Lytechinus pictus: one gene and its partners. The protein of the gene in region 2 purifies or fractionates together with the protein of the main gene of each other region. This does not show direct contact. Links are inferred from orthologs where the notes say so. Each region holds a gene or a part of one and is shown on either strand. Other genes may lie near its edges. The genes, in order: nuclear migration protein nudC-like, dnaJ homolog subfamily A member 2-like and WD repeat-containing protein 76-like.

Region 1 (7,806 bases), on a different chromosome or scaffold from region 2:
ATGGGAATTAAAATAATTTACTCACTGTAAGAGGCAGCTGCTGACATGACATCACCAATTCAAACTTTTTAAATTAAAAATGACAAATCTATCCTTTCGGTTTCATTACTTTCATAAATCATCATGATCATGTCATATTTTTATATCCTAGAAATTCCTACCCAACATTTTGCTGATTTTTGACTGATTTTATTAAAAACCAACTTCAGCCAGACTGAATATAAATTTCTATTAGTATAAAAAATGAAATAGAAGGATTTTTTTCTAGAAATTTACGTATGTTTGATAAGATGACCCTACACTCCCTACAGTCAGTAGAGGCGCACGGCCAATATTGGAGACTGTGGCGCTAGTGTAGTTTCGCACCTCCCCGTTTAATGGTTTTCAAACATGTAAAATCTCACCCTAAATAATTCACAACCTAAAATACTTGCATCTGAGCCTCCAAAGTCCAGTAGAAGTTGAATATTTGCCGTTTTTACACTTTTTTTTTACAAAGTTTTACACCTATTTCGGAATCACTCGGTCGCTTGAAGCTCAGCGCTGCACATAAGCAGTCGGTACGCGTACAGTACGTACCACCTAGTGAAGTGCAAGAAGAGTGAGTTTTTCTATGGTATCTTCAAAAAGATTTTTTTCCCCTCTTTCAGCTTGCATCAAGTATTACGGTAGTGGTTGTGCAGAGTGGTTGATGTTTGTTGTATGAAGGTGTGTGTGGGGTGTGCGTGTGTGTGCTTGTTTGAATGAAATAAGAAATGTGAAAAATGTGAATACACGTAGATTTAGCGATGAAATAAGAAATAATAATGTAGAGCCTTGTTTTGATGGTACGGCGTGTGAAAAATTGAAAAATGTAATCTACTAGCATGAAATCAACATAGCATACAATCAACATAGCATACAATTGTAAACTGAAGGAAAGTTCTCTGACCTAGAGTTCAAAACAAGGCTCTACATTATTATTTCTTATTTCATCGCTAAATCTATGTGTATTAATTTCTCGCTCTTCTTGCACTTCACTAGATGGTACGTACTGTACGCGTACCGACTGCTTATGTGCAGCGCTGAGCTTGATGAAGCGACCGAGTGATTCCGAAATAGGTGTAAAACTTTGTAAAAAAGTGTCAAAACGGCAAATATTCAACTTCTACTGGACTTTGGAGGCTCAGATGCAAGTATTTTAGGTTGTGAATTATTTAGGGTGAGATTGTACATGTTTGAAAACCATTAAACGGGGAGGTGCGAAACTACACTAGCGCCGAGACTGTCTCCAATGTGGGAGATTATCTCCAATATCAGAGACTTTTGTAAAGAATTTGGGTATCCAATTTCAGAGAGTCTCCAGTTTTGGAGACCAATTTCCTTTGTTTACATTTGCTGCAAAAGGATTACCTTGGCGGCAAATAAAAATGTGATAAGGAGATTCCTCATAAAAAATTACCCCTTTTCACCGTCTACTTTAAAAATTCACCGTCTACTTTTGTTTTGATAAGGATTTTTGTTGTCAATCACACACAAAACAAATGGGCTTCTGACCTCAGTGAGACAAAATTTTGGGTGGGAAAAATCATGCTTTTGTTGGTGTTGTTTCTTTTGTCCTTTTGCAAAGCAAGTCTCCAATGTGGGAGATTGTCTCCCCTATTGGTAAGAGTCTCCCATATTGGCCGTGCGCCTCTACTGACAGTATGATGGGGTGTCCAAACTTCGCGCACTTTTCAAAAATATTCATCAGGCTTAATTTTGTTCACAAAATATTCATAATTTATACAAAACCAATTCAAGAAATAGTTACCACATTGACGGCAAGATCGTAATCTATAAAATCATGGACGAAAATGTAAAGTAGGTCAAGGGGTTTCGCCGGTATCGCGATCTCAAAATTCTATTCCGATCGGTGAATGCGGGCTGTGCTGGAAACCGTTCAGAAAAAATGTGACTTAACTTCGCGCACCAAAGTTTTTGTGGAGATTCAAACAAAAACTCAAGCTCAAAAAGTGAAATATTTTTATATCAGATTGATGGCAAAATGCTATGGAATTGGTTAGTACCACATTCAACTCACATTTTTGATGATTTCTGCTTGCAAAATGGTGATATCGTGATGCTTGTTGATTTCTTCAAAACGGGCGCAAGCGGTGGCAAATTTGCCGATCTTTTGCCAATATTTTCATGAATACTGAACTCATCCTAAAGAAATTTTTATTAAAGGGTAATTTTAGGTCGCTTTTCACGTTGACGATGTCAGATTTTAAGGATATTGGCTAGTTTTTGAGATAATGACCGTCCGCGAAGTATGGACACGCGCGAAGTTTGGACTCACTGCCATAAATGGTTTCAATCGAATAAGAAACACGATAGCGGTTGTGTGGGACCGAGATAAACTAAAAGAAGCGAAGAAACGCAAAAATGAACGCGTGGGACCGGACCAAGATGAACTGATACTTGCGGACTTGCATAGCAAATTAAATGCAGTATAATCACACAAATCAAAACTTATCATGAATGAAATTATGCCAGTTACGTACCTGATGAATTCCTTGTTCTTGTTGCTGGGCCATTGCCATCAGCATACCGTCAAATCTATCGTCATCCTCAGCCATTTTTCCACATGTGGTTCACCAAAATGAATGAATAAATTTCGGTACTGGTAGTCTTCGTTTTCTAGCATATATATGGGTAATATATGCAATATATGCAGGGCGGAGTCAGAAAATTCTAGAAACATGAGCAAACTACTGGGCCTTGATGGTGGTGGTGGTGGTGGTGGAGGGGGAGGAGGGGGCCGGGCTGACATGGGTGGGTGGCTAGGGGCTTTAATGTTTCAAATATGAATTGTCTTGATTTCCAATGACTTTTTGAATGATTTAGACTCTATTTTTTTTTTTAATTGTTAAAATCTATTCATTTATTTATTTATCTATCTATCTATCTGTCTATCTATTTGTTTATTTATCCATCTATTTCTGAAGGAAGGAGAAGGGTTAGATGCCGGGGTTAGATGGGGGTAAGGAAGTAAATAGATCGATCGAGAGCTATATAGAGCGGAAGGAAGAAGGCACATGCACACACCGAAGTATGCCATGGGAAGTATGATCCTCACTCGCGCCCTTTTTTATGGGGGGCCGGGGGGGGGGGGGTAGTTCATACCCCATGTTTCAAGGAAAATGTGTGAGTTGCTGAATGACGGCCTCTATTCATTTCTATTCTTCTGATAGGTCCATGATTATACTAATGATGGTGATGATCATTGAATGATGATGACGACAATATGATGATGATGATGGTGATGATGGTGATCATGATGATCATGATGATGACGACGACGACGACCGCGATGATGATCATATGGTGAGGATGATTATTCTATTCTATTCAATTACAATTTTTTTTAGTCTACGATATATCCTTTCCTCCAGTAACATAATATTGCAAACATTGACATTAAAGCTAAATGAACGTAGTTGCAGTAGTAAAACACTAATTTCGTGAGAAAGTCTGTAAAACCAAAGTTAAGTATGACTATATCATCGTGGATCTAGATCTGGTACAGTTACATAAACTGAACTTTGTGAAATCATGAAATCTAAGCTGAAATACGATCACACTGAAGATCGCCAACACAGATAGGCACATGTGGGACAGTGTATTATTATTGCTGGAATAAAGACCCGACGGAAGTGACCGAATCCGCGCTTATTTTGCTTATTTCTCAGCAATTACACAATTTCTCCCAGAATCCTTTGGCACATATTTTTTATTCATATACAAACAGACACTTGGGTGGTCATTATATTAGATTCTGTAAAAAGTCATTTTGAGATCGTTATTACCAGAACTGGAATTTACCTTTAAATTAAACATTATAGAAAATTGAACTTGTAGACAAGACAAATAAGAGGGGATAATTATACATGAATAAAGAAGAAGGGAGGATGATTCCGATGAACGGTATATCCATAAGAAAGAAAAAAAAACATTCATCCAAACATTTCGGCCTTGTTATAACTAGATATTAATTTACATTATTTATGTCAACTACATTGTTCAAATGTGTTGTTCTCTAAACTATCAATATATAGGCCCTATAGCCTATCGTATATTCGATCATATTCTTTGACTGAGTTGGGAACTCACTGAATCATTAACCGAAGCTATATTCGTTTTGAACAACGTTCGATTTTTTTTAATCGCGCGATCCGGCGCGCGATGCAACAGGTGAAGCTCAAACTTTGGTCTCACAGGATAATTCAACACAAAAAGCTTCAATTTTCACACATATTTACAGAAAATACAGAGGCATTTTTTTTTTGGGGGGGGGGTGGAATTGTGTTTTGTTTACAAAAAAAAATATCGAGAGTAAAAATAATGAAATACTGTAAGCATTGGGCCTTAATGTCTACATTTATTGATGAAAAACATATATTTGCAGAAGATAGACCAATGAAGACGTATGACTATGAATATGAAGACAATTTTTTTTTTGGGGGGGGGGTGGTAATGAAGATATTCAAGGAGGGTGAAAGTATGAATCCTCATCTCTTCTCCCAAAAAAAGTAATTGAAAAGAAACACAAATGCTGAGAATAAAAAAAAATACTGTGTCAGTGTATAGACCTAGTATATACAACATTAGTTTATAAACATAACTTGACTATAAAATGTCTATCAGGTCCATTCAAACGAGAATACATTTTATCCTGAATAATTTTCTAGGGGCAACACGCCCAAAACCTCAAGCAATATGCGAGTGAGGGTGAACTTTGATAATTAAGTTCATGATTTACCTAGCACAGGTGCGGCCATGCAAACACACTTATCACGGTGAAGGTATATAGTTTACTACATCAAATGCTCGGTATTCGCTTCATTAGTACATGATCGTATAAAACTGACAGATTGTTACAACTTGTAAATAACATGTCAGCAACAATAACCATTGCCATTATATTAACATGTTCTTTGATTGGAGCTATGTTTCTCTCTGCGCTGACGGGATACCTTAATCGTCAAAAGCGACGTAATAGTTAATTTTGATCTCTTTCCGTCGAAACTGGTCTTCCTCATCTGACAATTCGTCTGTGGAACGGAAGAGTGAATTGTGACATCAGTCCTGAAACTGCAGCGATTACACAAGAACACACAAGCATTTATATTTCATCACTTTGGATTGAGCGAGTCTCAAGGCGAATATAAAAATGAAACTATCACTCTTTGGATTGATATTATTCTGTATCACTACAACCGTTTTATGTCAAGGTGATATTGAGGACATCCCAGGCGAAGCTAAGGTAATTGAACTTGAAGTAATATTGTATATTGAGTTTGTTTATCATAAACAATTATCCTCAAATCTACTTATATACAGACATATATTGTACCGACACAATAACTATTATATGTGAATTGTAAGTGGCGAAACCGGGGGGGGGGGGGGGGCACATCCGGCCCGCCCCCCCTTGAGAGTCACAGCAAATATTTTTCAGGGGAATACTGGGTCGTTCATACACAAGTGATGACCTTTTTTGCTTGTCAAATTTCACGTGGGACAAAATGACCTTAATTTTTTTGTATTTTTTTTAATTTTTTTAATTGTTATTATTATTATTATCATTTTTTTTTTTTTTTTTTGGGGGGGGGGAAGGCTTGTCAAATTTTCGTAGAGAAAAATGTTCCCTCCCCCTTTTTGGAAAATCCTGGATCCGCCCCTGGTGAATTGTGTTTGTTTATTTGAAGGTAAAGACGAAATTATATCTATAATAACTACATTTATATTATGTTATTAATACTTCCATGGCAATTTATGCAAATTGAATTTAATTACACTAAATATGCAACATACTTAGGTTAGGCATATATGTTTTTGTTATTTTACATCATTAACCCCCATATTTGATTCATGGAAAAAAAAAATTCGTCGCATGTAAAATGTAAAGCTGCTGTAATTTGCACAGAATACATTATATTTGTCATTGCTCTCATATTAGCCCGTGTTAACACCCTGCCAGGCAAACAACACAAAATATGAAATAGACAGATGAGAAAAGGAGAAAGAGAGGGAGAGAGGGGAGAGAGAGAGAGAGGGGGGGGGGGGGGGGGGAGAGTGGGAGAAGGTGAACTATTCAAATTCTATTTTGTTTACCAATCATGTCGGTATATGCAATTAGCCCAAATCAATATTTAAGAACAGCTGTCTTCAACACTTTTGCGTTCTTTCCCACAAATCATACAATACTGATGTACTTCTGATTGAAGCCCATCAGGAATAGACTGATTCGAATCTTATTGCGATATATTCATTGAAAAAATACGAACAATATACTTGTACTTATTTCTGAAATTACCATATGACCCCCCTTTTATGTTGCTCTTTTGCCCTTTTATTTTCCTGTAGTTCTTTTTTTTTTGGGGGGGGGGGGAGTTAAATGAATATGATTTTTGTTCAAATATTAATGATTCGGTCTTTAAGCCCGTTAATGACTCACTCTTACACAATCACAGAGAAATGTGTAAACAGATGTGACTTAATTAGAGGTAAATGGCAATATTGAAAACTTCAATTTTCGCTGGTCTTATTTCCATCACAACTTAGATCGTTTGTTTGTTTTCATGTATTTGTTTCCATACAACCTCCTCCAAATAAACATGTTGAAAAAAAATGTATGGCGGAAGGTCTATTTAAGTGGTACTAACATTTTTATGCCTGTATTCAATTGAGGGTCCTTTTGAATTAATGACATATCTTCAACAATGGAGAAAGGATTGCCTGTAAAAGACCAAACTCGAATCATATAGGCAGTCTTATTCAAACAAATATCTATTGAAGTTGATATATGATGTATGACGAAAATAATACTCGAGCATAAATTCACCTTTTCCATGTGATATTTACCTTCAAGGAACTAAATAATAGTTGCCTTTCAGAGTGATCACAAAACACATCAGAGGAAAACAAACAACAAGGCCTATACATGACTACACCACCTAAAATATTATAAAGAAGTAAGATAAGATAAGATAAAGAAAAAAAAATCAAGTGGATTAATATCTAATATTGTATGTATTTATTAACGTTTTTATTTTGTTTGACTTTTAGGATGATGCAGACATTCCTGTTTCCTGGCTTGACATCTTGAGCAAGCTTTCCCAGATCCTGAACGACAAGAACAACAAACCTGACATCACCACACCGACCAACCAATCATATCCCAATCAGCCAATTGACTACCATACCGTCAATGATGACGATAATGTTGAGGGCACTGACGTGGCTACCACTGTTATCTATGAGTACGTGAATGGAACCAAGTTCTGGGAGGACGAGGACGATGGCATACCACATCCCGACACAGTTTCTCCTGTCATTAGCGTCCTTGATGAAGTCGAAAAGGATGATAACTCGTCTGCCGATTCAACAAATTCGCTGTCGATCAACAACGAAGAAGCCGAGATATTACAACCTCCGTCAAATCAAACGTCATTCACAGACTCAAATCTAACTCTCCAGGAAGCCCTCGCCATTCTACGAGATAGAAACCAACAAAATAACTTCCATGATCAACAAGACGGGGATGAAGAAAGGCAAGAACCACCTCAGAACAGCACCGACCACGCCGACAATGTCCTCGACCATCTCTCCGAAGAGACATCACTATCTCGTCTGTATTATCATCAAGATTACACGACAGAGACCAATCAAAGTATTTCAGATGACAGGAACAGAACAGTCGATATAGAAGATGTTGCATCGGCGACTCCAACTCCACTAAAGTACAATTACACTATGGTTTCAACGAACGCTTCATCATCC
Region 2 (7,407 bases):
GGAAAATCAATCGAATGAAAAAAATAAAAGACTGGATATTAGTCTAAATTATTTATGAATGGAATTTTCCACAACTTGAATGGAAAGACCGCATGCGAGAGATCAAATGGCACATGTTCGACCCCAAGCCTGTCAAGAGACCCAGGGAATTCCCCTGATTGACGCAGAAATTCAAAGCTTGATCGATGGGCTTCAACATTCTATTTGAAGAAATAAAATTCAGAGGATGAGAGAGCGTGAGAGAGATAGGGGGGGGGGAATATCTGGGATTAAATTGCTGATAATACAATGAAACTGTTATTTAAACTAAAAAGTTATTTTTATAATTTAGCTCTAAAAAAATAGATATAATTGTTATTTGTTTAGGCCTGTTTTTCTTAATTTTTCTACTTGCCTTTATCAAAGATTTTCCACTGTTGCTTTTACTCTGCTTGACTCATTTTTTATATTTTATTTTCTATTTTTTTTTTTTTTTTTTTTTTTTTGGGGGGGGGGGGGGGGTGTTGTTACCTAGAGGTATGCGAATGTGGGCGTATCTCCTCTGTTGAATCTGGACCAGCTCCACCATTCCACCTGGGCAGCTTCCTCGTTGTTGTCAAAGAATAAGTACAAATCTTCCTGAAGACAAAAACTGCAGCATTTTATATTGTAAACCAAAGAATAGGCCTTCAATGTCATAAAGACATTGATATCTTTGCAATACGCCACAGCAGGCATTGTTGCACGTGTTGCACTGCACCGTACCGTATTTGATTTGATGAATGAAATGAAAATAAGAACGGGTTTCATGACATGAACCAAAGGGCACAGAGTAACTTGAACTTGTAAATGGGGAAATTCCACTCAAACATAAAAGAGTATTCTAAGCATAAAACTGAAATAATTGATATGTTTGATACAGTGCTATATTGTTATGGATGTTTATGATATAGAGGTAAATTATGTTTGTTTCTACTGATACTTTTACCGATGTGTTCAAGTCACCCCAATTAATAAATGAACTTTCAAACTTTAACGATGAAAACAAGACCCAGCTCGTCCGGCATTTATCATCATGGATCACTTGCATAAGAGAGCACCCATTGCTTCGATTTGTTATAATTTTCCAATAAGAGGAGCACTGATCACAAGTTCAATTTTTTTCATCAGTTTAATCATTACCTACTCCACATGATTCCACATTGATTATCTACATGATTCGTTTCGGGACATTCATTTCTTTATTTTTTTTGAAAACTTTGATTTAATTATTAATGAACTCAATCGGCTAGGACCTGGATTTGAAGGTTCCATCGGCACATGTGAAGTTTTGAAATTTTAGGTAAGTACTATAAATAGCTCAGTGGGAAGCAAGTTTCAGGACATGTTGCTGATTAAATAAAAATGCGGTGTAATGAGGCTTATCAGTAATATAATTATTATTAAAAAAATAAAAGTAGACGAAATTTATTTATTTATTATGGCTGATACGTTTAAAAAAGGGAAAAAAATTATATTTACTACAAATAATGTCCTGAAATTGGTAACGGCATGTCATGACTGTGTGGAAAGAAATTGGGAAGCTAGCTAGCTAAGGCCGGTCTGGTATACCCATACCGTATACGCAGTGCATCAGTACCGGGTGCGCTGGGCACGGCATGGCCGTGACTACGTTCGGAGTTCTGACGGAGAAGAAAAGATGGAAATAACTTCCACCAAAAACATAATCTAGAAGTCGAATATGTCAAATGATCATCATTTATAGGTATGAAATATGAATCATCGTTTATTTTTAAAGTAATTCGTAAATTTCTATTTATGGAGAGACTTTTACTTTTTAGAATGCATGTTTCGTAATAACGTCTCGTGCACAAGCTACCACAGACTACGAGCCGGGCTGCAGCGGCAAATTTAAAATTGAATATTAATTTAAGGAGGTCGTTCGAAACTAGCTATTCATCGACCATTTTACGTGACAACTAGCTTCGGGGAAGTTAGGGGGCTGAATCGGTTATCTCTGTCCCTTTCTGGTCTCACAAAGGCCATAGTTTGACACTTAATATCTTCACTTTTTGGAAACCTTTGGAACTGGGAGTTGGTATGTTTGCTTTGATTTTGTTTTCTCTTTCATGTCATTGTAAATAAAAATGTGAAGACGTTCAAATAAAAATTTTAGGATTTCAATTTGTCCACCCTACAGTAAGACTAACTTTCAGTAGAGGCGCTGGTCAGAAAATTGGGATCGTCCCAGTTTACAGGGACTGTCTCAGTTTATAAGGATTTCTTCACACAAGAAATCTAGGAAAGTTCATTCACCTGTTGAGTGGCGACACCAATCAAGAGTGCTAGTCAATGTAAACATATCAGGTTTCATAACAAGATTATTGGAAGACGGCAAGTCATAATAAATAAACGGTGAACTGGGGGGAATTGAGGTCACTGAATCTATTTTTAGCACTCTCAATTCCCCTAATTGCTGTCTTTGTCCCGTAGGGAGAAGTGAAGAAAAAACGTCCCCATAAACAAGGACAGTCTCAATTTATCAAGACATAATTTGTCTTGGTTTATAAGGATATCCTTGTTTTCTGGGACAATCCCAATTTTTGGACCAGCGCCTCTACTGACTTTACTTAGTGCTATTACCGGCATGACCGGTAAGGCGGTATACGTTGTTTTTTACGTACGGGCCTCTAACTTAGCTCTTCAGTCTATCACTCTATGTATTGGTGAGTGGAGCCAACGCAGCTGAACAACTAAATACCTATTCCAAGACTGAAGTTTTTGGTCTAGCAATAGCTTGGCATGCAGCAGCATGCAGCACACACACCGTCAAATGACAATGCCGGTACCGGTACCGTACCGGTACCGCATGCGTGCCCCTATCCCTTTCATTGATTCATTCATTCAATCACCTGTGATTCTGGTAAATAGCAACGCAACAATTAGCATGAATGCCCAACCAATATGATAGTTTACCGTAAGAAAATTATAACTAACCTTTTTCAATTCATTACTCTCGACATTCGGAGAGACTCCAAGAAGATCGTACAACTTAGTGTCGTTAGAACTTGGTCTCGAACTCGGTCCCATTCCAAAGAACGCCATGTTTGTTGCGTCACAAGCTGAATATACGGTAATGTAGTGAAATCACATGCACGCACTAGAAGAATCCAACGATCATGCATACGCGCGCATGCATTGCAGAAGTATGGGAGGCCAAAAGGGAAAGAAAAAAATACTATTGTGTGTGTGTGTATTTGAGTTTTGTCAGACGTGTATCAATCAGATATGATTATTTTACGTCTGGGACCGACCTTTAACGTCACCATCCGAAAGACGTGACCAGGGCTCGAACCTCTGCATCAATTTGTAACTTCCCCACAGCTTGGATTACAGGCGCACGCCACAGCGCCAAGTGATCATCGTGTGTCCTTTAATTCTCCCTTGCCCCTTCCGCCTTAACCACCCCCTCCACCAGTAGCATACGCGGATGGCAGGATTTTTAAATGGGGGGGGGGGGGGTCAAGGTTCAAGCTGAATGAAATGTTGAAAAAAAGGTCTTCACTCTTCACTACAAATTTTAGGTCGTTTCCTACCCCCAAATAACTTGACAAGAAAAAAGTCTTCATGCACCACCAATTTTTGCGCCGTTTTGTATCTCAACAAAAATTTGACAAGCAAAAAAAAAGAATTATTGGGGGAGGGGTTGAATTCTTGGGGGGGGGGGGTGGGTTTGAAAAAAAATTAAGGGGGGTTGAACCCCGCCTGTAACCACCCCCTGCGCGTACACTACTGTCCTCCACCACCCCAACCATAACCACCAGCCATTAGCCCCCTTCTGCATCTGCATTCATAAGTTTTTGTGCATCAGCTATAGGTTTCAGCACTAACAAAATATTAAGGGTCTGAAGATTGAGACTAAATAGTACATGGAGATATATTGCTATGATTTGCATTACGCTAGTGTAGGATGTCAGACACGTAGATTTATAAATTATTTTGCTCACCAGTCATATCACATGATTAAGTTCACAAATCAAGAAATCAGATCATCCAATACAATTACAACAACTGAGTTTGGAATTGACATCTACAAAATGGTCCAACCAACTCCATATATACAGCTGATGGATCCAAAGTTCCAGAAAGGGGGATTATAGTTCAGCCGCTTTCTACAATACGGTATGCGCCTTATTTTTCTATTTACCAAGGAAAAAGATTATCGAATTTCACCTCTCGGAATCGATTGCGATTATTCTTGCACTGGAATCGATAAAATATATATATATATATATATATATCTATATATATATATATATATATATATATATACAGGTGTTGTTATTTTCAGTGATTCATTAAGTGCACTTTTATCTTTACAGAATCGGAAGGACGATTCTGACTATTACAAGACTCAAATATAAAGGTTTGGATCCCTGGTCACTGTGGAATAAAAGGAAATAAAATAACAGACTCCTGCGCAAAAAAGGCTTTATCAAACAAAATAGAATTTCATAATCAAATAACATTATCAGAAATTACGCAACTTATTTCAAAAAGTTGTAAGATAGTTTGGCGAGAGATGGAATAAAACTAACTCAGCACTGATCGAAAGAACTATAAGCATCAGTGCTCCGCATATAAACGTAATTTAGAAAGACACGAATATTCCACCGTCTCCGTTTTGGAGTCACTGGTCTCAACCAAGATCTATATACCCTTTCAAACTGGCCTCTTCATTTTTCCCCGGCGAACTTCGCCGGCGAACATTTCCAGTACGCATTCCTCACTTCCCCGGCGAACTTGAAGAAAAATATGTACCCTTTCTACATCTCTTCCCCGGCGAAAGTCGACGGGTAAAATTGCTCGGGCGGAAGTAAGTGCAGACCACTGATCTCTCAGTGGTGGAGTGAAAGCGCGCGCTTTTTTAAATTTGAATTTTAATCGTTCTCTGTCCTTTATATCAGTGAAGTTTTGGAGATGACAGCTGGTAAACACTTCTCAGCTGCTGCTGCTGATCGATCTCACTCGGCACGTGCATGCATGCAGAATTAGAACGAACGAAAAGAAAATTGTAAATATTGCTTCTTACCGATTACAAAAAGGTGTTAAAAAATTTACAACATATTCGAGAAATATTAGAAGCAAAACAAAAAAGAATCAAAGTATTTTGATATTTCAAGCGTATTTTCAGCATGTAAAATAACGCTTTTGAATTAAATATTGTTAGTGAAAAAAAATATATGTTCGAGAGTATTTAACTCTATGGAATGATCGAATCGCTCATAAAGTAGTCTGCAGGCAGACCCTGATTGAAACTTTTATCAACAAGTGTGTCTCCACGCAAAGACTAGCACATACAAAACTTGCTGTTTCAGGAGGCATGAGTAAGCTGCAATTCAGACCCTTTACTCGAGTGAAGGGTTTGCCCAGCAGACTACTCTTTAAGGGTGGCCTTCTACATTTTAGCCACGGAAATAATACATGTAGCTATAGCTAGCGCGCGGAATCTCAGTTCAGGGGATTTCGGGGAGAAAAAAAAAGACATCTGACGTCATTAAAGAGGAGAAGTTCTCTGGTTAGCTTTTATACTGGCTGTTTCACCGGAGAACTTCGCCGGGGAAACAGTTTCACCGGCGAAGTTCGCCGGGGGAAGTTTTCCTGTGTACCTTCATACTGGACACTTCCCCCTTCGCTGGCGAACTTCGCCGGCGAAGTTCACCGGGGAAAAGCTCAGTATGAAAGGGGTATTAGATTATTTAGGGATCCATCAAACAGGTTTTGTGATCATGGTGATGGATTTCCTGAGGTATAGAAACTGTCAGACATTATATTTTACATTGTCCAAAATATGATTGAACGATCATGCTTCTTGCAGAATTGAATGAATCACAGCCAGGACAAATAATAAAGTATTAAAAAAGATGGCCCAGGGACACAGAAAGCATTTTTTACGTTTCGTTTCAAGAACGAAACGTTTTAGTAAGGAGTAGTTATTAGTGATGTGCTAGTATATATATATTGTTTATATACTTTATAAGAAGTATGAACGGATATATGCTTGTATATATAAGTTTAATATGAAAAAATATACATATATGTGTGTGTGTATATATACATGACTGTGTGTGTGTGTATGTATGGTGACCTAGGCATTTATGTCCGAAAAATCGGCACAATATATGTACCTTTCTGACGGGTATGATTGCATCTTTGATACTATTCAAAGGGCATGGCAAGCGCAACTAGTTGGAACTGGGCTGAAGATAGCGGCTTGTTTTTGGTGAAGATTTTTTTATGCCATTTAAGACAAAAGAGTTATGACAAACTTTTGTATAATTATCTTTTTTCATATAAGAAGGATAAACAAGAAAAAATATTTTATTGTGTATACATCATATTGGTATTAATATCAATATGTGTGAAGTGAGATTTTATAGACAATGGAGACAATAGTCAAATATAGTCTGCAGGCAGGGACCCTGATTGAAATAAGTGTGTCTCCACGCGAAGACTAGGCATACAAAACTTGCTGTGGGCGAGGGGGCCTTCAGTACACAATGCATGATCATAGGCTGCAATTCAGACCCTTTACTCGAGTGAAGGGTTTGCACAGCAGACTAAGCCAAATATGACTAATCGCCACTCAAACCAACATGAGAAGAAGAAGTTGTGTCTGGCGGCTACACCCCACCACCAAAAATGCCTGGAATTTTTTTTTTCAATTATCCTGACGCCCGGTCCTGACGTAAGCATGACAATACCTCTTTTTCTTCTGCATTGTGCTTCTTTATAATTATTCATTTATTCGTAGATTTGAATATCTATAAACAGGATAAAACATGATCAAGTGCATGTGTTCTACACATTATTATGTTCCTGATACATCTGATCAATTATAGGCCCTTTTGAACATGCTCTTATTTACTTCAGATAAATTTCTTTACTATTATTTTTTTCTTGTTCACGTTGTTAGTTCAAAATTTACATTTTTTTAAATTTTGTTTATGCTGGGGCGCTGAACCCGGGGCAGACAAGGGGCATGCACTTACCCCCCAAATAATTACACAAAGGAAAAAAAGTGCTACTCTTTCAAAATGTGCCGTTTGTGAGCTAATACTTTTTTAATTTGCACATTTTCCCCCCAGGACTTACATTTTGTTCCATATCGATTACTTTAGCGAACTTAAATTTAGTCCTAAAATTTTGCGTATCCTGTTAATAATTGTTTTTCTGCTTATCTGTTATGCATTGTAATGCGCAGTTGAGTATAACCAAATAGAAATTGCGCAATATAAATTTACAATCATTATTATTATTATTATCAATGCTTCCTATTTTTGGCCCCTGAAGGGCGCGTATCTAATACAAAGACATCATTTCGAATTAGACATTATCTACGAACATGCATTTTAGCATAGAAAAGCA
Region 3 (7,998 bases), on a different chromosome or scaffold from region 2:
CCATTTTGTTTTGTTTACTCTGATGGTGAGTCAATTTTTTTCTGCTCATAATAGCAAGTCAATTTTTTGAAAAACTTCCAGCCCCTCCCCCACCTGGATATATAATGGTGCGTCCCTAAAGGGGTACTCCAGGCTGAAAATAATATATAACAGACACGTAAGACCAGAAAAACAAAACACTGCAAACTTGATCAAATCGGGCACAGAATATGCCTTTGTGAAGTTACAACACTATATAAAGGATAAGTCCACCCCAACAAATTGCTGATTTGAATAAAAAGAGAAATATCCAACAAGCATAACACTAAAAATTTCATCAAAATCGGATGTAAAATAAGAAAGTTATTACATTTTAAAGTTTCGCTCAATTTCACAAAACAGTTTATATGCACATCCTGTTTGGTATGCAAATGAGGAGACTGATGACGTTATCCACTCACTATTTCTTTTGTATTTTATTATAGGAAATATTAAATATTTAATTTTCTCCTCATTGTTAAGGGAAACATCGATTAATTTCTCCCTGAACATGTGGAATTAGCATTGTTTAATACTATATGGTTCAGTCAAGTTGGTCCTTATTGTCAAATGTGTAAAAAATGAAATATTGTATAATTCAAACAATAAAAAACAAAAGAAATAGTGAGTGATGGACATCATCAACTGATTCGTTTGAGTTGTACATATCACTGTTTTGTGAAAATAAGCGAAACTTCAAAATGCCATAACTTTTTTTATTTTACATCCGATTTTAATGAAATTTTCAGTGTTATGTTTGTTTAAATTTTCCTTATGGGGGAGCAAGAGCAAAACAATTGCAAAACAATTGGTATGAACAGGCAATGACGTCACAAAGCAACAAATTTGAGAGGGCGATCTGGTGTATCGGGCAAAATAAAAATTTAAAAAGATGCGAGCGAGTTAAAAAAAAATATGATATTTTCATTTTAAAATTCCAATTTTGTGATAGATTTTGACATAATGTTTAAAGCATAATATCATATTTTACTAATCTCTCTCTCCCTTTCTCTTTTTTTTCTTGGTCTGTACGCCACGCTGAACAGGATTTTTTTTATGATTGTGCATGCGCGAGCATCAGGGCGAAGCTCTATACTCGAAGGGGGCCAGTATGGCGCGTGTGGCAAGAGGTAGCTCCCGAGTAAGCGAAGCGAGCGAGATAAAATAAATCACCTTTTCGTGAGAATATAACTTTAAGATAGATTTTTACGTGATATTCAGAAAAATATAATAGGGCCTACACTTTTTCTTTGCTTTGCTTTCTTTCCTCCTTTCTTTTTTGTTTGGTTGAAGAACTTTTTTGGGCCATGGTTCAAATTTTTCCATACAACAGTGCTATGTGGGTGGGGTCCGGGGCGGAGCCCCCGGAACCTCATGATACTATAAAGTCATTTTAAACCTTACCGATGGCCACTATTTTAAAAATCAAATTGCGTCTATATTATATAGCTTTCACAGTGACACAACACATAAATTAATTGCAGTTGCGTAATATTTTATCCAAATATTTTGAGGGGGCACACCATACTAAATGGGAGAAAATTTGTAAAAAGTTCCCAGCGAGCGAAGCGAGCCAGAATGAAAAATGGACCTTTGAAATGAAATTCTAATTATGTGATAGATTTTTACATGATAGCAAACAACATGTCATATATTGTTTCCATTCATCTAATTTCGCTGCCTCGTTGATTTTCGTTAATTTCCCCTTGGCTGTGGAACCACCCCCCCCCCCGTACGCCAGTGCTTCAACGCAAAGCTTATAATGCAGGAAGGGTCCATACAGGGGCCCGTTATATAGAGCCCTTTAAGGACGTTCCACAGAACATATTTGTGCGCATTATGATCTGCGCATAGTTTACACTCTGCGCGCTGACGTCACAATGGATGAACAGGTGATAGCTGCGGGTATGAGCTGATTTTTCTCATCTTCTGCACTTTAACTGCAGATCCGATGCGTTATTTCATGAAGCTAAAAAATTGAATTATTCCATGGACCATTCAAAAATATATTCTCTACAATTTCAAAATACTTTACTCTGCAGTGCTGCCAAGAATCACGAATATTACCCCGAGTTTGAATAAATGGTAGAGTGGTTTTGATTTTTTCTTCACATAGATACTAAGCATTTGGCCCATTTTTTGTGTTTTAGAAAGCACATTTGCTCTAATAAAAATGCTGATAGTTTAAAAACAAGCACATGAACCCCTATTTTTTAATGTTTGCACCTCTTAGGTATACCTTCCTCTACAACTCTGCAAATTTTGGTGAAAATGACATGGATTTTGAATAAAGTGCAGCATTTATCGTACGTTTGTAGTTTGTTACTGAAATTTTACATTTTTTAGATTGGGATTTTGTTATCTTTTACGCCATTTTTAAGAACTGACAGTGCTGTTAAACTTAAAATTGCAAACAAATAGCACTATTAATAGATTCTCCATTCTAACGATACAATTATCAACTCTCTTGCGAAATTTGATGACTTTTTCATGTATTTTGACTGAGTAATAGAGGTTTAAACTCATTGTAGTAATCTTGGGCGGTCTAAAAATGCCAAATTCTTTTGAATGCGCAATTCTTAAGAACATCAATTTGGGTGAACTTTGAAGCTCTATAGCAAAAAATCAAGCACATGGACCTATGTTAATTTTTGCATATTTCGAATATTAAGGTTCTAAAGTATCTATGTGCAAAGTTTGGTGAAAATGACATGGATTTCACTTTAACTGTGGAACGTCCTTAAATGTTACAGATGAAGAGCCCCTACTGCACGGGGTCTTGGGCAGAGCCCCCGGTAGCTTTGGAGATTTAGCAAGCTTATATAGAATTTCGTACATTATGCTATTATGCCATCCATCTTTTAGATGTATTGCTGTACACATGCATGACCAAATTATTTGGTACCCCCTAAACGAGTTTTTCTCTGTGTGCAAAATAATCCCCTTATCAATTTTTTTCGCGCGCTTCAGTCATATTGGCCCCTAAACAAGTTTTGTCTCGGGCCCGAACACTTTTCAGAAACGAGGAGGAGAAAGCACCTTTTATTTGAAAATCGGTGTTTTTGATACCCTTGAAAGGCCACCGCACACCTTACGACTGGTCTGCGACCCGATTTCAGAATAAAATGTAATAGAATTTGATGCTAGTATTGAGACTTGGAATATCTTACTGTGTAATGTTCGAAATCATCGTATACCTATGATCAAATTTGTGACTATGCTATCATCCTTCTTAGAATAAAAGCGAATTTAATATATAGTCGTTATGACGTCATAGGAGTCTTACGATTGGGTACGATTTGAAACTAATTTGGACTTTACTCCAAAATAAGGGCATGCAATCTTTCAAAATTGTTATAATATTATTATTTCAATTAATTTTAACCTCAAATAAAATGATATGTTCCATTCACATCTTCAGAAAATGAGCAAAATGCGATTTGTTCCAAAATCGGGTCGCGGACCAGTCGTAAGGTGTGCGGTCGCCTTAACGAGTGCACTCGCGGCCCGCGTCCAAAACTGAAAAAAAAAACCAACACCCCTTTAATAGCGTTTTTTGGTCATTTTTTACAGCAATATTTTTGACTGCCCCGGGGTTTTCCCTTTTTATGTGTTTCTTATAGTTTTCTGTTCCCTTTCATTTCCCTTTCCTCCCCCCCGGCCCCCCCCCTTTCCTCCTTTTCTTCCTTTTCTTTCCCTTTCCATTTCTTTCTTTCTTTTTTTCTTTCTTTCTTTCTTTCCTTCCTTCCTGTCTTCTTCCTTTCTTTTTTCCTTCCTTCGGCATTCCTTTCTTTCGTTCTTTCTTTTTTCCTTCCTTCGACATTCCTTTCTTTCGTTCTTTCTTTTTTCCTTCCTTCCTTCCTTCCCAAGTTCCTCCTTCCTTTCTTTCTTTCTTTCTTTTGTTCTCTCTCCCTTTTTTCTTTTTATTATAATTTTCCCGGTGAAATCCGCCAGGGGGGCGGGGGAGCTTGCCCCATTCTGCCCCCCGCCTGTTACGCCACTGCCTATAGCCTACTATGGGGGTACTATGATCTTACTGAGATCATAATCTTTTTCACTGCATGCACCGAAATAATGCTCACTTTAAAATGTCACAACCTTGTTATCCTTTTAGTATTTTGATAATTTTTTAATTGTTTTGTAGGTCTGATTTTACTTAAAGGACAATTATAAGTCCACCCAAGCAAAAAATTGATAAAATTAAAAGAGAAAAATCCAACGAGCATAACACTGAAAAATTCATCAAAATCGGGAATAAGAAAGTTTTGACATTTAAGTTTTGCTTAATTTCATATAACAGTTATATTCACATCCTGGTCGGTACGCAAATGAGGGGACTGATATGACATCACTCACCTATTATTTATTTTGTATTTTATTATTCATAATAATATGAAATATTCCAGTTTTCTTCCCGTTGTAGCCTACTATATAGTTTTATTCCTCCTTGAACATGTAGAATTACCATTGTTTTAACATTTTATGGTTCAGTCAAGTTGGGCCTTGTTTTAAGATCTGTAAAAATTGAAATATTATATAATTCAAACAATGAAAAACAAAAGAAATAGTGAGGGACATCATCGACTCATTATTTTGCTCGTCACTGAGTTGTACTGCATACATGGCATAGGGCCTAACTGTGATAAATAAGCGAAACTTTAAATTGTCGTAACTTTCTTATTTTACATCCGCTTGTGATAAAATTATTAGCGTTATGCTTGTTTGATTTTTCTCTTTTGATTGCAATCAACATTTTCTGGGGTGGACTTGACCTTTAAGACCTTTAATCTGTTCAAATCAATATTTTTATGCAGCACTACGTATTCGTCTTCTGAAACACCCCTTCCCTCCCCGGGGACGAGGTTGCAGCAAGCCGATGTTTCGTAATCAAAGCGCGCGCAATTTATGTAAACATGACTTTTCACGTGCATAAACACGACATACCGTATATACTGTGCATGTGCTGTGTGACATCAATTGATAAATTCGTGGATCTGTCTGTGACTGTGTACATGCTCTCGACTGTTCATCAGAACCTGCTATAAATGATCGCAACTAAAACATTTTATAAATCAGCTAATATGGCCCCTGTAACTCGCACTCGAAATCCAAGACCAAAGCGAGAAGGAGGTTCTGAACTTGAAGCAGCCGAATCAACATTGGCTTCGAAGAGAGCAAAGCGGGTAAGTCATGCAGGCTCTTGTTGATTTCATCGATGGTCGCCGCCGAGGGATGCCGGGATCTCGCCGGACTTTGACTTGTAATGAACCGAACCGTAGCCTGGCCAGAGACGAAGCTGTCACTGTCACTGTATTCAGCTTCATATTTTAGTGTGTTAGTTAATTCTTACATCTAATTCTAGAATTATGATATTAAATTCAAATGTATAAAATGATATTAGGAACCTGTCAGCTGTCTTATTTGTTTTAATAATTTAATTTCTTTAATAAAAATAAATAGATTGACATAGGCCTAGTTAGGCACTTAGTTAGCAGTAGAGGCGCACGGCCAATATTGGAGACTGTCTCCAATGTGGGAGATTATCTCCAATATCAGAGACTTTTGTAAAGAATTTGGGTATCCAATTTCAGAGACAGTCTCCAGTTTTGGAGACCAATTTCCTTTGTTTACATTTGCTGCAAAAGGATTACCTTGGCGGCAAATAAAAATGTGATAAGGAGATTCCTCATGAAAAATTACCCCTTTTCACCGTCTACTTTAAACATTCACCGTCTACTTTTGTTTTGATAAGGATTTTTGTTGTCAATCACACACAAAACAAATGGACTTCTGACCTCAGTGAGACAAACTTTTGGGTGGAAAAAATAATGCTTTTGTTGGTGTTTCTTTTGTCCTTTTGCAAAGCAAGTCTCCAATGTGGGAGATTGCCTCCCCTATTGGAGAGAGTCTCCTATATTAGCCGTGCGCCTCTACTGGTTAGGGTCTAACTTGTTAGGCCTATATAAGTTACTAAAACTCTAACCCTAACGTCTGACATTTGGGCGAGGCAGTATAAGTTTCAGGGAAATTTAATCTAAGTTAATTAAAGTTGAATGTTACTTTATGTTAGCTGGCTTTGTTTGATTTTAAAATTTTTATTGGGTCAGCCTTAAAAAAAGGTAGGCCTAGTATTTTGAATGCAAAGTCAGTACTATTAATTACAAACAATAACTTATTAATCTAAGTTAATTAAAGTTGAATGTTACTTATGTTAGCTGGCTTTGTTTGATTTTAAAAATTTTATTGGGTCAGCCTTAAAAAAGGTAGTCTTTGGAATACAAATTAAGTTAGTATTAATTACAAACAATAACTTATTAAGACAGAGAAATGAAGAAGAGGAAGTCTGGAAAACAGAAAATATAACGATGGCATGCAGCCTGCAGGACTTCCTCGATGTAGCCTTCGAGTGCTTAAAGGTCAAGTCCACCTCAGAAAAATGTTGATTTTAATCAATAGAGAAAAATCAGACAAGCATAATGCTGAAAATTTCATCAAAATCGGATGTAAAATAAGAAAGTCATGATATTTTAAAGTTTCGCTTATTTTTCACAAAATAGCTATATATGCACAATTTAGTCACATGCAAATGAGATAATCGATGATGTCCCTCACTCTCTATTTCTTTTGTTTTTTATTGTTTGAATCATACAATATTTCAATTTTTACAGATTTGACAATAAAGACCAACTTGACTGAAAAAAAAAAAGTTAAACAATGGTAATTCCACATGTTCAGTGCGAAATAAAACTTTGTTTCACAGGACAATGAGGAAAAAATTAGAATATATCATATTTCATATAATAAAATACAAAAGAAATAGTGAGTGTGTGATGTCATCAGTTCCCTCATTTGCATACCGACCAGGATGTGAATATAACTATTTTGTGAAATTAAGCGAAACTTAAAATTGTCATAACTTTCTTATTTTCCATCCGATTTAAATGAAATTTTCAGTATTCTGCTTGTTGGATTTTTCTCTTTTTATTCAAATCCACTTATGGTTGGGGTGGACTTGTCCTTTAATTAATAAAATAACCTTGGCCAAAAAAAAGTGCCAGAATATCCCCATTCATTACTATGTTGAAGCTTTTCTAATACTGCAGATTTATCAATTAGGTTGTGAAAATTGGTCCACCGAACCTATTTTTTTCATCTTTCTATTTTTTTTTTTTTTTTCAGACTTCTGTTAGTTTGAAAGCAGAGATGCCAGATGCCGACTTGTCGCCCGCCGTCAGACGCTCACCAAGAGTTATGAAAAAGGACGCAAAGGTGTCGCTGACCAGGACAAACATCTTGAAGGAAAATGTTCAGAGAGGGAAGGAAAAGGTGAAAAAGGAAATCAAAGAGGAGGAGGATGAAGAAGAGGAGAATGCGGATATCAGACCTCTAAAAGAAGAATCAGATGTAGAAATGGTAATAATGATATTTCATTTACTTAGGGTAGCCACTATAGTTGGGAATGATAATAATAACTCTTATTTACCCAGTATTACCACTATTACCATTTCAGCTGCAAGCCGTTTTTACCGCTGGTAGAGAAGAGAAACTCTACCGTACCATGACATAAGATGTTATTACTATCCTTCTCTAATCTTAAGTGCTGAGCACCTAGCGAAGGTGAAGGTCCCATTTTTATACATGTTAGTCTTTGTCAGGGGCGGATCCAGGATTTTCCAAAAGGGGGCGGGCTACATGTAAGTTCGAATTCGGAGTCCAAAGGTCACAGCTCATATATGCGAGTTGGTTCAAAGGTCTAAATTCATTGTTTTGGTTTCTGCACGATATTAAGTTCAATCATATCGAATGAATTTCTGATCGCGTTAAGCGGGGGCATCTGTGTCCTTTGGACATGTCAAATTTCTAGTTTTTTCAGTGTTTTGTTCTGTTGCATCATTATTAGTTTTTGTCTTCTATCTATCTCTGTAGGGAAGTCACTGTAGAAATAGAATTATCATTATTTAATTAGATACAGAGCATAGT

Evidence for each region.
Region 1: the proteins of dnaJ homolog subfamily A member 2-like (region 2) and nuclear migration protein nudC-like purify together in Homo sapiens (affinity purification with mass spectrometry; 4 studies listed by BioGRID and IntAct, with this or other methods). This does not show direct contact. The link is inferred for Lytechinus pictus from reciprocal best matches to the Homo sapiens genes DNAJA2 and NUDC.
Region 3: the proteins of dnaJ homolog subfamily A member 2-like (region 2) and WD repeat-containing protein 76-like purify together in Homo sapiens (affinity purification with mass spectrometry; 3 studies listed by BioGRID and IntAct, with this or other methods). This does not show direct contact. The link is inferred for Lytechinus pictus from reciprocal best matches to the Homo sapiens genes DNAJA2 and WDR76.

What each region holds. Positions count from the first base shown.
Region 1 is NC_087248.1:5,421,307-5,429,112, forward strand, and holds the start of nuclear migration protein nudC-like, read right to left. Parts: upstream 3,092-7,806; 5' UTR 2,601-3,091; coding exon 2,526-2,600; intron 1-2,525. Other genes in the region: uncharacterized protein LOC135153861, read left to right, coding at 5,195-5,287, 7,093-7,806. UniProt on the Homo sapiens protein: Plays a role in neurogenesis and neuronal migration. Necessary for correct formation of mitotic spindles and chromosome separation during mitosis. Necessary for cytokinesis and cell proliferation.
Region 2 is NC_087246.1:70,311,207-70,318,613, reverse strand, and holds the start of dnaJ homolog subfamily A member 2-like, read right to left. Parts: upstream 3,085-7,407; coding exon 2,977-3,084; intron 1-2,976. UniProt on the Homo sapiens protein: Co-chaperone of Hsc70. Stimulates ATP hydrolysis and the folding of unfolded proteins mediated by HSPA1A/B (in vitro).
Region 3 is NC_087250.1:12,391,660-12,399,657, forward strand, and holds the start of WD repeat-containing protein 76-like, read left to right. Parts: upstream 1-4,910; 5' UTR 4,911-5,063; coding exon 5,064-5,201; intron 5,202-7,197; coding exon 7,198-7,431; intron 7,432-7,998. UniProt on the Homo sapiens protein: Specifically binds 5-hydroxymethylcytosine (5hmC), suggesting that it acts as a specific reader of 5hmC.